Tamandua tetradactyla: one gene and its partner. The protein of the gene in region 1 purifies or fractionates together with the protein of each later gene. This does not show direct contact. Links are inferred from orthologs where the notes say so. Each region holds a gene or a part of one and is shown on either strand. Other genes may lie near its edges.

Region 1 (8,569 bases):
TCTCAGGTGAAGGTGAAAGTATCAAACACTGGCCTGTGTGTTAGAATTTTACTCTAGTCTACTCAAAGTCTGGTTGGTGGAGTTGCCTGTGGCTATGATGTTTACAGCTGAAACAGTAATGAGCAAAAAGGCAAGGTCACATGGGGCTGCCAGTTGAGAAGTATCAAAACAAACTGTCTTGCGCTGGGTCACTAAATCCAAATGCAACAAATGAAAAGAAGGCAATCAAGATCAGTAGAAGTAAATGCAGAGATTGTCAAAGATAGTGGGAGGAAGGCAAGTCATCTATATTTATCTGAGCTGGTATTCAGGTAGTTCACCTTAGGGGTAAGATAGGTCCAGTGAAAAGAAAAAAAGGGAGGTTTATAGACACCTGACATTCATTCTCATTTCTTCATGCAAACTTTATCATTCCATGAATAAGCACTATGTTTTTAAGCATCTGAGCCTGTTCCGCTTTTGCTCCCTTTGTCTGAGATTCCATTCTCCCACTTGTTTTCTAGTGTAAAACCACACATTTTTTCAAGAAGTAATTTACTATGCTTTGCCTGTCTCATTTGATTCTCTCTAGCATTTGGACCACAATTTTACCTAAGTATTCTGGCTGGCTCATTCCTTTAAAACTCATAGTTTTTGACTGCCTGAGGTACTCTGCTTACCCCTTCCAATTCTTTTGTCCCACACCACTCTGATGGTGGCCTCAGGGGATAAGGGATCTTCCCACCTCAAACTGATACTGATACTATTCTAGAGTCATTATTGTATTATCAATAATTTTAGGTACTATATACAGTTCACTTAATACGTGCAAGACATCACACTAAGTGCTTTATTTGTAAAAATCTTTTTTAATTCTCACAACACATGGTGTTATTATTCCCATTTTGTAAATGAGAAAACTGAGACACAAAGAAGCCAAGTAATCTGGCCCTCAGTCAAAGACCTAAAAAGAGGTAGAGCTGAGATGTGGATCCAGGCAGACTGAATCTAAAGGCTGAGTTCTTGTTTTTTATAAATATTTTTACTGAGAAATCTTTACACATACACACAGTTCATACATAGTATACAATCAATGGCTCACAATACCTTCACTAGTTGTGTGTTCATCACCATGATCACTTTTAGAACATTTGCATCACTCCAGAAAAAGAAATAAAAAGAAAACACTCATACATCTCATACTCTTTACCCCTCCCTCTCACTGACCACTAGTGTATCAATCTACTCAGTTTTTTGCCCTTTATGCCCTCTATTATTTATTTTTTAGCCTTATTTTTAAACTCATCATACGTTGGATAAAAGGAGCATTAGACACAAGGTTTTCACAATCACACAGTCACACTGTAAAAGCTACATCATTATACAATCACTTGCAAGAATCAAGACTACTCGAACACAGCTCAACAGTTTCAGGTACTTCCCTCCTGCCCCAACACACTATACACTAAAAAGGGATATCTATATACTGCATACGAATAACTTCCAGGATAACCTCTCAACTCTGTTTGAAAACTCTCAGCCACTGTGACTTTATTTTGTCTCATTTTTCTCTTCCCCCTTTTGGTCACGTAGGCTTTCTCAATCCCTTAGTGCTGGGTCCTGGCTTATTCCAGGCCTTCTGTCCCATGCTGCCAGGGAGATTTACCTCTGGGAGTCATGTCCCACACAGTGGGAGGAGGGTAGTGAGTTTACCTGCCTGGTGGGCTTAGAGAGAGAGGGCACATCTGAGCAACAACAGAGGTTCTCTGGGGGTGACTCTTAAACATAATTTTAAGTAGGCTCAGCTTCTCCTTTGCAGGAATACATTTCATAGGGATGAGCCCCAAGATCAAGGGCTTAGCCTATTGAACTGGTTGTCCCTACTGCTTGGGAGGAATTCCCCAGATGGGGAAGTTGAACATTTACTCCTTTCTCCCCAGTCCCCCAAGAGGACTTTCAAAGGTTGAGTTCTTAACCATTGGTCTATAATGACTCTAAAATGAAATTTAACATTTTTCTTCTACCTTGTCTGTGGCTCAAGCCAAAGACCTGAGTTGCCCTCTACCTCTTTATCTCAAATCCCCTGATCTCCAATCTCACTTTGCTTATTTTAGTTCTGTTTTACCTGGATGATTAAATAGTCACTTAGGTACTCTATGCCATTATGCATGTTTCTTTTCAAAGAATGGGTTTTTCAAATAACAACTTGATCAGGTCACTCTCAACTTAATTCCTTTCAGTGGTTCCCGCAATCTGTGCAATGGTCCAAACCCCATAACACATACCAACAAGGCTCTTTAGTACCTAGCCCCACTCCACCCCTTCAGCAACACCTGCCATTCCCTTACATAAACCTCCATACTCTAGTCAAGTCATCCTCCTTGCATGCCTTTAACCAAGCATATTCCTAATGCCCTGATATTGCGAACACTGTTCTATTTGGGCTGTCTTACACAGTTCTTTATCTAGAAAATTCGTATTAGTAACTTAAGTTTCACCTCAAATGGAAACTTTCCTGACCACAGTTTATAACAACCCTTTAACAGTAAAAGGTAGGGCAGTGTCTAGCACTCACTATGTGTCAGGCACTATTCTAAATTCTTTACATATTTTAATGCTCATTTAATCATTCCAACAACCCAATTCGGAAGCTGAGACAAAAGTGTTTTCAATTGCTGCCACTTCAGTGTCTTGATGGGGTTTACCTGTTTCCTTTCCCAAATTAAATTCTTAGAGGGCAGAACTGTCCTCTTTAAGTCTGTAGCAGCTACGTTACAAATAACAGAAGCAGGAAAAGCTCAATAAACATCTTTCGAATGAATGGCCAGAGCAGCCTCCAGATTCTAACTGCACACTTGGACACCGTTCCTGGCCGCTGGCCTTCTAATTTCTTCCGAGCACGCCGAAAGCATAACAAACGTCTACTGACTAGTGGAGTCTCCTGCAAGCTCAAGAAACCTACAAGTATTTACCGAACTGTCATGCTCAAGTACACACATATTCTTAACGTATGCCACTAAGCTTTCTCCGAGGCTAACTTCTTTAGGTTTTTACAAATTTCCACGTACCAAACAAGCAGCCAGAAAAATCAGCTGGCCAACGAGGACGACATTAAACATGACACAGACGAATTCTCAAGAAAGGAACATGGATCTTACTTTGATCTCTCAGAAAGTCGATTTCTGTGGCCATTTCGATCCTATTTTCGTTAGAAGTTTGCACCACCGTGGTCTCCCTCCGAAAGGCACAGCTGGCTGGGCGAGCAAACAAAAACTAAGGCAACGCTCCAGAGGTCGTTAAGCGCTGAGCGGCGTGATCAGCATCCTCCTCACGCGCGTCCACCGCGCCTCCTCCGCCCGACTCCCGGCCGAGTCCCTCGCCCCGGCGCCAGACTTCAGACTTCAGGTTTGCAGGGGCCGCGCCGAGAATCCCGCCGGGGAGGGAAGGGGACGCGGGCCGCTACCGGCGTCCTGCGGCTCACCCGCCGACCTATCGGGCCGCCGAGCCCCGCGCCTAGGGAAACGGCGGGGCAGCCTGGTGGCGGCGTCCTCCGCGGTGCGCGGGGCGACACCAGAACTGCCGGGCAGCCCGGGGCCAGCCGCAGAAGTCCACTCGGCCCGCCCAGCGACTTTGAAACCGGTGCCCTGGGCCGCTCCTTGGAGACGATGACGCCGCCTTCGTCATCACGCGGGCGTAAGCGCTGACGACATCGCGCTTCCGAGAGTCCTCGCATGCCATTGGCTGGCTGTCAAGCGATGGGCGGGGCCGTGAGAACCGGGAGGACGGTGGGCTGAGCCGGCGCTAGGGCTGGTGTTTTCGTGTGCCCGGGCCTGGCGGTGTTTCTGTTTTGCTTTAAGAAAACTCCAAAGCTGTAAAGATGGGTAGTGCATTAGACACAGATTGTTAAGGCCCCCGGTGTCTTTGGGTTACTCGGATGCAATGCGGGGTGTGTGGAAAGGATAAAGGTTCCTGCGGCTGGGGGCGGAATCCAGCGTCCCCGACCCCAGCTGACCCTCTGGAAGACTCCGGGGTATGAATTTGGCATTCTCCAAGAGCTAAGAGCTGGCCTGCAAAAATCTCCCCGTACAGGGATTTTGGAGGGAGGAGATAGTTCTTGTTTACGCATTTAACTGTGCGGGTAGTAAGGCATGAAGTTATAGAGATGTTCGAAAGAGTCTTCAAATTTAGCATTTATTTCTTTTGAGATACGTTTGCAGCCTCACAATGAAGGAAGGAGAAAAGTTGCATTTTTTTGCAAGAAAAAAATAAGGTAAAAATTTGCGTTTCTTGGTAGATTAAATCCCCATTTGTATAAAACGATTCTGTCTGAATTTAAACTTCATGGGTTTCTTTTTTAACAGTTTACATCGCAGGAAGCAATAAAAGCCTGACTTGAAGCTAGCCACTAACTTCCCTGCTTTTTAATCAATTATGCATTTAATTTAATTTATTTTTATGGATTGAATTAAAGTTTCACTAATCAGACATGTCATAGATGCAGCTTGATTTCGCTTTTTTTTGACACAGAATGATTTGACTTTTTTGTTTGGTTTTGTTTCTTGTACTCATAATACTATATAATCGAAGTAATACTAGCAAAAGGTATTAAGAAATGAAAAGAATGTGTCCAATTGTATCCAATTGGTAGGTATTTGAAGACCTGTTGTGAGATTTATCCATACTCCCCGTAAGAGAACGAGATGGTCCCTTCCCCTAAGAATAGCAGTTAAATATGGAAGTGTTGTTAGTAACCATCAAAAGGTTTAATTTAGTTTTGATCAGAGAAGGATGAACTTGACCTGGTCTTTAGTGGCCATGAAATTAACACACAAACTTATTGGGAGAAAAAAATTAAGAAGGCAAATTCCAACTCTTTTTTTTAAATCCAGTATATTACTTTCTTCATTAGTCTTTCACTGCCTCCCACAACGACTTGCTTGTACTTTTTTCCTACATTGGACTGAATCTTGTATATTGTCATATTGTGATTTTAACTGTGCTCTCTCTGCCCTGTGTCTGTCTAGCTTTAGAAGGTGTTCTCTTATTTGTTAATTCAATGAACAGATTGTGTTTGAGGTTATGTTGGGACCTCCAAATAGAAATGTTTTTAGGCGTTTGGAAATGTGAAATTGTAGTTCAGCTGGGCAATAATAAGTTATTTTTTCCCACAATAAGTACATAATTATGATCTTGCCTGATGACCTTTTGACAAATTAAAACATATTTTCATACTCAGAAAGAAGAGATATTACTTAAATTTAATCTGAGTGGAAATCAGTGGCAACTTCATAGCAATCATTTACAAATAAGTTGATGAGATATATTCTACATTTACAAGTAAATTGAAAAGATGTATCGGTGTGGGTGAAAACAAAGACTACCTTCTAGATATAAATGTTTTGCATTACACAAATTGACTATCTGAAATTGGAATTTTTATGTCTACACTTGAATAATTTGCCTTGGATGATCATGGTCAATACAAGCCATAGTTTTTTGCGTATGCTTACAATTTTACTCGTTGAATTTTAGAATTTTCAAAATAATTTTCATCATTAGGAAACAAAATCATTATGAGTCCATTTATACTTAAAGTATCCCCTCTAGTGTTTCTCTTTTTTAAAATTTCCCGAGTTTTCCACCCACTTCCTCCAAGATGGTTTCTCCCTTAGTATTTACTTCATGCTCCTTCCTGCAGTCATCATATTGTTTGATAGTTTATCTCTAGGCACTGTCACGGTACCTGGAACACAATAAGGGTTCCATAAATATCTGATGAAAGAATTAAAGACTTCAGTGACTGTGCATGGAAAGTATATATTAGTATAAATTGAGTACAAAGAACAAGAAGTTTAATATTCGAGCCACTGTTTCATGTTTTTATATTAAATATTTTTCTGCAAAAAAGACAACCGTTAAAAATTGATATGTTTTACTAATATTAATTTAGTCAAAAAACTGACATGCACTACCAGTACTATGTGCAAAGCATCACCACAAATACAAAGTTCAACGTTTATGGCACGGTCAAACTGCATTAACTTTTTCTAATATAATGAAAGCTCTTAAAAGTGATTCTATAAAACAAAAACAACTGTTCTGGTAAACTAACAAACCGAAAATCTATTTTTCCCCAACAAAGTTTTAAAAATAATGTTAGAATGCATTTAAACTGAACCATGTGAAATTGCCAATTTTCTGCAATTTTATTTGGTTTAGCTTAATATTTACCTGAAAATATTTGTATAATGGCAACAAACCAGTGTAATATCTGCTCTTGCAGATTGAGAGAAAATGATAATGACTTCAGTTGAGCATGTGGAATATGCACATTGTTTTCAGGGTAGTTCAGATGCAGTGACTCATTACTGACTAAAACCCACTGATCCTATAAACAGTTTGGTAGCTCTCAGCAACCAAAATCCAGTGATTCTGTTACTTGGAAGTATCATAGTTCTGTAACTTATCACCTTTTCTTAAGAAGTTGAAAACTTTATACAAGATAATGTTATGAATTTTTTTCTAATCCTGTACAGAAACAAAATAATTTCACATTGTCTTGGGTGAAAGACACAAAATGAAGGCACAGAAACTGACAAATGCTGAAACTGCTGGAACAGTTAAGATTGAATAAACAAGAATCATATGTTTTATCTCTAAAGTACTTAACCATATTTTATGATTTCAAGGGTCGGTTAGACTATCCTGTCCAATAGTCGAGTTTTCTATAAATAAAACTACTTCAGAAATATGTAGTTTTAATTATTTGAACAGAAGGGTATTTTCTTTAGAAAAATCAATATACTTTAATAATGATAATAGCTAATCTTTACTAAATACGCTGTTCTAAATGCTTTGTATATATTAATTCATTTCGTCCTCTTAAGAAACTAGGTAGTATTTTAAAACCATTTTTTGAGTAACTTGCTGATATTTACACAGCTAGAAGTTGCCTGAATTGAGATTTATATATCCCGTTAGTCTTTAGTTTCATTAAATGAATTATGCTGAAATGTTCCATTATAATCTTAATAATTTACAGTAGATCTACAAATTGTTACACAGTGTATTGCTGTTACACTTCCTGCTCTTTGGAGAGAACTACTCAAACTTTGGAAGAATGATTAAAAGTCTTCATACGTTCATGGTTGTCTGCCTAGAAAAACCAGGGCATTGTTTCAGTCGTACTCAGCGAGTGGGCGGGGCCCCTGCCTGAGGCCTCTCTCGGGTGGGCGGGGCTCCTGCCTGAGGCCTCTCTCGGGTGGGCGGGGCCCCTGCTTGAGGCCTCTCTCGGGTGGGCGGGGCCCCTGGCCGAGACCTCTCCCGGGTGGGCGGGGCCCATGGCCGTACCGTTTCCTGGGTGGGCGGGGCCCTGGCCCGAACCCTCTCCGGGATGGGCGGGATCCTGGCCCGAGACCTCTCTCGGGTGGGCGGGGCGCCTGGCCGAGACTTCCCCGGGGTGGGCGAGGCCCCGGGCTTAGCCCTCTGCAGTGACCTCGGCGCCAGCATCCCGCGCGTCTGGACTGAGGAGAGCTTCCCGGTCTGTGTTCTCGTCTTATGTCCTCTTTACTGTGTCATACCTTATATTTTTGCCCAATCTTGCTAATATCGCTTTCTTTGGCATTTTAGTTCTCTCTTGCTGATTCGGTTCCTGTGTTCCCACTTGGAGCCTGACTTCTTGTATCTCGGTTTCTCGGTTAAGTGCGGAAGAGGGTATGCAATCTGAAGAGAATAACCGTTAGTAAAAGAAAAATTTGTGAATAGATGAATTTGAAGGTTTTCCTTGCCAAATGCTCTGTTGAGAAGACACCTTTTTCATAACTTCCTTCTTTTAACTTTTGTAGATTTTTTTCCCTCTCCTCGTCTCTTAAGAAAAGAAGGTTCCGTCTCCTTTTTCTTCATTTCCTTCCAAATTCTTTCCATAGTGCAATTTAAAACAATGAAAGAGATTTAAATTCCTTTTTATAATGAAACTTAATTTGAAGAATAGAGATTAAAATGTTAAAAAACAACAACAAAAAAAAACTGATTAACGTTAAACATTCTTTTAAGAATGCTTAATGCCAGATGGAAATTGCACAGTAGGATGATAATATCATTTTGCCTTTTAAGAAATGTTCAGACACTGTAAAAAACAGAAGCACGAATGAGAATCTAATTTAAATCAAATTGATTTAAGATTTACTAATTGAATTGGGTTTTTAAAAATTTTTTAATAAGAAATCTTCATATACATACAGTCCATCCACATTATACAATCAGTGGCTCCCAATATCATCACATAGTTTTGTATTCATCACCATGATCATTTTTTTGAAAATTTGCATCACACCAGAAAAAAGAAAAAAAAAACTCGCATATCCCATATCCACGAATTGTAAATTTCAATTGTATAATTCTGGTAGGAAAAAGAATGCAAATTTTCAATATTCATGAGGAAAATTATTTACCTAATACTTAATGAGGTAATGCTATAATTATTTTAGAGTGGTTGTTAAAATTTTGAGGACTGTGGATACCTATGAGTATCTGATGAAAGCATGCTTCCCAGAGAAAAATACACATATACAATAATTTCTATAAAATTTTA
Region 2 (7,890 bases), on another chromosome or scaffold:
ATAGGTACATCTCTTTCTCCACATTTCCTCTAGCACTTATTTCTCTCTGTTCACTTTTCAACAGTTTTATTCATACATTATATAATCCAACCTAAGTGTACAGACATGCCTTCGCCACCCTAATCTATCTGAAGACACTTCCTTTTCTTCCACAAAGAATCCATACCCCTTCCCCATGCCCTCTGCATCTGCTTTAAATTTAAGACTTAAATCCAGATATTTAACCCAATCAAAGCAAGAAAAAGGCTTACCAGAAAGATCAACTTGAAATTCCTACCTACTAAATCTCTATTTCAGAATCTCTGAAACCCCCAGCCATGGGATGCTTACCCATTATCCCTGATTTCAGTCACCTGTACCCCTTACCGGCCCTTTGAAATTTTACATGGCTGGGAAGTTGTTAAAGCACAGCCACGTGGCTCAGTTTTCTCCTTTTAAGCCACCTATCAATCTCTTTTTTTGTCTCAGAACCTCAATCTCCATCATGCTCAACCTTTATTCAACTAACATCTCAGTGTCAATTTCTGAACTATTATGATATCTCACCCTGAATCAATATTGGCATTGAAAATACTGGGGCTGGCTAATGGGCCTTTTAAAAGGATGTTTTTATGTAATTCTAAGAGTCAATTCCACTTATATGTTTCTAGCATGCTTGTGGCACTATATACACTGTAACAAGTCACTCCATTAGGCTATTTTAGGTTCAATTATTGACTTTCAAGACAATGTAGGAAAACATATACAAAGGAAAAAAATTCAGCAAGACTTGATTATAACTTGGGCTAGACATAATCCAGTTATAAAGAAAAGGCCCCAGTTATCAGACCAGCTAACACTGCAATGACCCATCTCTAAAAGGGCCAATTAAAGGTGAGTTTATTTTTTAATACCCTACTCCCCAACAATTTCTGGATTGATAAAGCTGCTGTGACTGCAGCCTTTGAAATAATTCTGGAATTTTAGGAGATAATGAATTTTAGGAGATATAGGTCCCGATAGGCACTGGGTTGGTTAAAACTACAAGAAAAAAAGTGCATCCAAACCCTCAACTAGATACAGAAAACGATGTTCTTTACTTGTTGCTTTTCAAACTCTTTTACTTTGAGGCCTATTACTCGAGGAGAGGGGGAAAAATCTGTAGTCTTACTTTACACATTAGTCAAGCCCCCTCATTTATGGTGAAAAAGTAAGGTTCAGTAGGGTCGAATGGCCTGCTCAAGGTCACACAAATGTTCATGTACTAGAACCCAAGTTTCTGCGTTTCTACTGCAGCTTTCTCTGTTATCTAAAGCTATTCACCTCTATGCTTGTTAACTGTGCATTAATCAGTTAGTTATGAATTCTTAAAATGAAAAATGAACACACACAGCGACATTTGTACTGACTAAAACAAACGTCCAAATGCAGAAATGTTAATTGGCTATAAAATTTGACTCCTGATAATTTCAACAGTGTCACCTTGCTTAATAGTTAAAGCAGTAAGTGTTAAACATAAAGTGAGTCATCATTACACAGTTATTATACCATAAGGACTATAAACAGCCAGGTGTTCCCAGTACAGGAAGCAAAAACAGTAACTCACAATTAACTCAGTTCAAAAACAATGCATTTACACCAGTAATATTTTAAAATTAGGGCTCGGCTAAAAAGGGTAAATAACTAAAGGCTGGGGGTAACAAAGCTACTCTTCTAACAAAACAGATGCTGAGCCAAAAAGCATGTTAAGCATACTGAAGCACAAAGCAATGTCTTGCCTTACAATTATCAAGAATGTGTAGAAAATTAATAAAGTCTTTGAATCTATCACACTATCCAGTTGTCTTGGTTGACTGGAAAATGATCATTATTTCATGATAATGTGCGGCTACTGGGTTCTATACAAGACCTTCCTAACTTCTGGACACTAGCCTGCTGACTCTGGGATTTCTTCCATTTATATGAAAAACATTTATCAAGCACCTCTTTCACCTCAGATACTCTAATCCCAGCTAAGGTGCCAATTGGTTATGGCTCCTGCCCTCCTAGAATTCTCAGTTTAGACTGGGAGCATGTGACTTACGCAGTCACCAAAGGTGCTAAAGAATGTTGAGGTCAGAACAATTGGGACAGGTGAGGTTCTGCAGGAAGAGATTTTTTTTTTTTTTTAAGTTAGTGGTGAAGAGGTCACTGAAGCGGGTGAGAAAATATGTCAGAGGTAAAAATAGCATGTAGGAAAGAATTAAGGAGTAAAATATAGTGAGGACAATTACAGAGGCTTTTTGTCAGTGCTTATAAATATTTAACAAGAATTAGCTCTAACATAAGATTCATTTTATTCCTTTTCAGAACCACGTACTTCTACTTTACCTTACACATAATTATCATTTTAGAACTGTCACAGACACATCTTTCTTGTTCACTAGAATGATTGTTTCATAACTTTTAACACTCATCAAGCGTTCTGTTTAACAAGAGATCCAAAAATCTATTTCTTGCCTTACCAATTAATGAGATTTTTCGACTCCAATTAATTTAGCAGCTAAATAAGAGTTCCAATAACTCATCTATCATGTGGTTATTTATGGTTAATTGCTTCATAATTCTCTCCCTTACTGTACTTTTAGATCTACCTGTTTTCAGGGGTTCCCATCTTTCATGTCCTTATCAAAGAAGTCCTCTGGATGCTGGCCTTTTCCACTGGAAATTTCGTCCTTCTAATGGAAATCTGGCGAGCCGCCTCCTCCCCCCAAAAAAGTCTCCTGCATTTCAGCAGGGCATATGTTTATGCAAACACCACACACTCACGCTCCCACCTGCATTTCTGAGCCTGTCATCGTCGATGCAGTGCAGCTGTCAGGGTGGGATGACAATTTGAAGAGACACTGGGGAGAAGCCGTGCAGAGGGGACTACAGAAATTCACAAGGCTTGAAGGAGAGTGACAGGCAGGAGGACTCGCACTCTCACGGACAAATTCAGTGCCACGGGCCATTCTCAAGCGGAAGAGGGGCTTCCGTTGCTGTTAACGGTCTTCACTTCCAATGCAGGGGGTGACTCTGACAAACTTTGTCTTCCAGGCCCCAGTGGGCGCTTGGGGGCGTCGCGGGCAGACCCGACCCCGCGCAACCACAGACCGGGATAGTGGGGAGGAGGGCACCCAGAAGACACTCCGCGCAGGTTGAGACACCGCCCCCGCCCCCGTCCCCCGACTGGCCGTACCTGTCCCGCAGCCCGTGCTGGAGGCGGCCCAACTTCTCGTAGTAGTCCGGGCTGACCAGGGGCGCGGACGGTGCGGAGGCCTGACGCATGGCGCCCACTTCGCGTGGCCTGTGGCAGCCAGATGACCTGGGTTGTCCGAGGCGACGGACCCACCATGCACCGCGAGTAAACACGACGCGGAGACGCCGTGCAGTGGGCGGGGCGCAGGCCGTGGAGGGGCGGGGCGGGGGCCTTGCAGAGGTGGGCCCGTGCCAGGGAGGGGCGGAGGCTGTGCAGGGGGCGGGGCGCAGGCCTTGGAGAGGACGCGGTTGGGTCGTGTGGGGGGCGGGGCCTCGTTGAGGGGCGGGCCGGCCGGTTCCTAGGGGACCCGAGGCTCCAGGAGGGGCGGGGCGGACTGCCGGGTGGCGGCCTGGGCGGCCTGGAGACCAGCCTGTCCCTTCCACTGACCCTTCGCAGTTCGCAAGAGAGACTTTCTGAAGGCTAAGCCTTTCTTGTCCGGCGACAGTCAGAAGCCGGCCCTCGATCTCCTTGGGTGGAGGATGGGGGCTGGCGGGAACAATTAACTTGATTAGTTTGGTCTTTGGCATCCAGTTGCATCGATTTTACAGGGTGCATTCTCTCCCTCCCTCCCGCCTTCTCAGGGCTTGCGGAGTGCCACGCACTGCGCTTAGCTTATTCGCCTAAGCAAATTAAAGGCAAATTTAATTGCACTTAAAGGCAAAACAAAACACCAGAAAAAAAAAAAAAAAAAGACAAAACACCAAAATACTGAACAGATGTGCTCAGCTCTCACAGCACAAGCCTTTCCTTGAAGATCCGTACTGTCCCGAAGCACGTGGAACTAAAAGAAGGGGCCTTCCAAGGCAGGGTAATGCTGCAGGTGACATCGCAGATGGGTGGAAAGGGAAAAGTTGCTTCCGATGGTCGGATGGACCATGTACCAACGTCCGTAACAGGGACTCTGGAGCCACGCTGCCGGGCTAAACTCCCCTCTTCCTCCAACCAGCTGTGTGACCTTTTCCAACTCTCCAACCTTCATGAAACCAGGTTTGCTCAGATGTAAAGTGAGGAGGCTACTACTGAGGACCCAGCCATGTCGTTATAGGATTAGATTAGTCGGTGTGGGTATGGTGTCTATACGGGGAGCCAGCACTTAGTATCAGCTTTAACCATCATCATCACTGTGGGAAATGCCTCCTGAAGAAAAACAACCATATTCCAAAATCCACAAGACAGAAGCAAAAGAAACTAAAACATTTATTTAGTCACTTATTCTCCACTCCTTTGGGTTTCTTTTGTCAGCTATTAATTTCACCAAAAGCTGAAAGGTGTGACTGAAACCAGTAAACTGGTGGTTAGTAAGAGATTTGGAAGACTCTCAGGTCAACAATATAAAATTATAATGCCCCTCAGCCTTCCCTTCTCATTTGCCAGGCCCACGACAAGAGTACAAATGGAGGCCCTCATAGGGTCTGTCTAAATGTTAAAAAGTTATAAATCAAGATAAGATCTTCATGAAATATGTTCTCTCTTCCTACCTTGGCTAATTGCCTTCACAACAACTGACTCCATTCCCAGCCCAGCTGGTCATTTCCCAGCCAGGCTGTCCTGAACTATTAGGGTCCTCACTCACAGGCTGGGATGCACATGGACCCTTCCCCCTGTCTACAAGTCCCAGCTCTGTCTGCACCCCCACTGCAGCCGTCCCTTGGCATGAGGCCCTGTGGATGAGCATGCCAAGTTGATGGTCACTCTTGCGATGAAGGGCCCTTGAAAAATCTCTCAAGGCTTTGAAAAGGAGCTGGGGCCCATCTGAACAGGGGATGTCAGCTTTCTGGGTATACAGAGTATGTTCTAAAAGTGGCAGGGCAAAGAGGGGCCAGAAAGGGTCTAAGCATGGTACTGATGTTACTTTTATTTAGTGTGTTCTATCAAATCGTTATACCAAATTGATTCAGTGGTAGTGTAGAAAGATTTATCGGTTTTAGCACATTTTACTACAACCCTGGCCAAAAAAAAATGTTACACATTTAGCATGTTTTGTTTAGGTCCACCTCCACTCAGATTAGTTTTTTAAGGGGAAAAATGCTCCCAAACAATTAATATAACTAATTATTTTCAGCCAATAGCACAGAGTAAGCATTCAGCATCCCAAATTTTTATTGGGCCATTTTAGGAGAGCCTAAAACTTAAATTTAATTAAACAGTAAATAGAAAATTCAAAATAATTGTAATTTGCATTCTATTGTTGATTCATTAGTGACATATGCCATCTAGATGCAAGACCCTCTTTATTAACAATAGCACATAGCAAGCAAAATGAATATTTCTAGAGTATTTATGCTAAAATTATGCATTCTAAATGGTTCCAGACTTTCAATAAATTCAAGGTTCTTCACTTAGAGTATTTAATTAGCTGGAGCACTCTTCCTTAATATTTTTAAATTCCTTTATATTAGCAGAGCTGATTTCTATAAGAAGCTCTGCTTTTAGTTATTCTTGGACTGTGGGTCATCGAGAATCTGCCTAGATGGCAGATTCCTTGTAAATCATAGAATGTCTTAGCTAGAAGTTAGAGGGAGTCTAACTCATTTTAGAAAGGAGGGAAAAAGTTCATGGCAGGTAAGGCACTTGGGCAAAGTCTCACAGCTTGTATTCTATGTAATATTAATGAATCTAGTTCAAAACATGGGCCCCTAATAATCCCATTAAGCAAACACCAAGGAAAAGCCCGTGTCTCTGACCAGTAGTCACATAGATCCTAGGGTAAGCCCATATGAAAGTGCTGTTTTTGTACTTGAATCAATGAATGGAAAATTGATTTTGAAAATACATGGAAAATTGATTTTGAAAATACATTTCAAAATGTAAACAGTATAATTTTAAAATGAAATCTTGTATATTTGAGTAGATTATTATTTGGATGTGAACATGGAAAAGTATTTTATTTTGCAATCACTATGCAGCAGTATTAGCCTTTGCATCTTGTACTAGAAGAAAATTCAGTTTGAAAGTAGATATGAATCAAACATACAAAGTATGGGAAATGCTATAAAGCTGTGATATCACATGTATGTGTGTGTGTGTAACCCTTCCTGCCACTGAACACGGATACTCTTCTAAACATTTATTGCCTCATTGAAACATTGCAAACATAAGCTTCTTGCCCAAATGTGTTTTTGTCAAGCTAGTGGTAGCCTTTGGATTCAAACACAGTCCTGTTCTGGTTCAAAAACCTACATGCTCTTATCCTCCATTCTACATGGCCTTGAAACTCGATGTTTGAGACTGTGAAAATGAAATGGTTAATAGCTTCACTAATCAACTTGATATGCTTGCTTCCTCTTTATCCAGGGAACTACAAAGAAGAAACAGAGAACAACTGAGTCAGGCTGACATACCAATAATCCTTCACGGTGCTTACTAAGGCCTCTGCTCTTGCAGAAAAGAAGCATGCTCTCGCCATGCTGACGCCAGCAAACTTGCTTATCTCCGCTAGATAACCTTGCTGCTGCAAAGACATCCTGCCTGTCCAAGTTACAAAATTAGTGAAACATGGCCCAAGGACATCCTGCCCCAAGCAACTCCCATAGCTCACTCTCCCTTGCTCCACCTCTCCATTCCCATCCCTCTCTTTGTTCCTAGAAGCCATATATACTGCCTTCCCAGAACTTGCCTTTTGAGCAGTAACCTTTTAATGCTGTTCTGCATTAATACTGCTTTAGTTCAATAAACTTCTTCTATACTTTGGTTTTCAGAGTCTGTTTTGATCAAAACAACACCTACTGATATTTTTTATTTTCCTTGTAAGAAATGTGTAAAATATATACAGGGATGGGTTTTACATATAAATGTTTCATTGTTTGGGAAATAATGCATTTGCATAGGATGCATTTTTCTACATGCTGTGCCACACTATTCGTTTGAGTTTCCTCCTTAGCACTCAGAAGAGCTACGTTTTCCGTCCTTTCTAGCAGTAGGTGGGTCCAAATGACTAAGTTCCGGCCAACGAAATGTGAGTAGAATAGACACTTCCAGGCCTGACCCCCAAAACATCCTGCAGTCTCTTCCACAGCCTTTGCTAGTTGGCCAGCTGGGTGCAGAGAATCCAGTGGCGAATTCTGGGGCCCTAGAAGAAGAGTGAAGGACTGCAAAGAGTACTGGGTACTCTTGTAAGAAATAAACCTTTATTGTGTCAAGATACTGATATTCTGAGGTTGTTTCAGCACTGGCTCTGTTTATCCTGACTAATAACAAGCAACCCATGCCGAGATTATATAGATGTATTAACACATCTTTCCACAAAATTCTTGATAAGGATTTATGTGACTGTCCAGGTGGTAAGAAAGACTGCAAACCTGGAACTTTGAGATTAAGAGTTGATGCCCAAGAAGAGAGAATTACATAATGAAGTCAGGGCTATAGTGAAGAACTATCTAGAGCAGGCTCTGTCCAACATGACTTCATGTAGTGATGAGAATGTTTTAGGCTGTGCTATTCAATGGTAGCTAGTAGTGTGGCTACTGAGCAACCGAATGTGGCTGGTGCAACTGAAGAATTGAATTCCTAACCTTGATTTTAATGAAAATTGAAATTTACAAGGTAACTTATAGCTATTGCATTGGACAGTGTAGATGTTGACATAAAATGGAAAGATGGATAAACAGGGTCATAAGTCACTGGAAAGTGAA

The links.
Region 2: the proteins of SCLT1 (region 1) and KIZ purify together in Homo sapiens (co-immunoprecipitation; 3 studies listed by BioGRID and IntAct, counting the BioPlex papers as one, with this or other methods). This does not show direct contact. The link is inferred for Tamandua tetradactyla from reciprocal best matches to the Homo sapiens genes SCLT1 and KIZ.

Annotation. Positions count from the first base shown.
Region 1 is NC_135348.1:39,195,650-39,204,218, reverse strand, and holds the start of SCLT1 (sodium channel and clathrin linker 1), read right to left. Parts: upstream 3,630-8,569; 5' UTR 3,172-3,629; coding exon 3,138-3,171; intron 1-3,137. UniProt on the Homo sapiens protein: Adapter protein that links SCN10A to clathrin. Regulates SCN10A channel activity, possibly by promoting channel internalization.
Region 2 is NC_135327.1:39,084,587-39,092,476, forward strand, and holds the start of KIZ (centrosomal protein kizuna), read right to left. Parts: upstream 3,394-7,890; 5' UTR 3,289-3,393; coding exon 3,200-3,288; intron 1-3,199. UniProt on the Homo sapiens protein: Centrosomal protein required for establishing a robust mitotic centrosome architecture that can endure the forces that converge on the centrosomes during spindle formation. Required for stabilizing the expanded pericentriolar material around the centriole.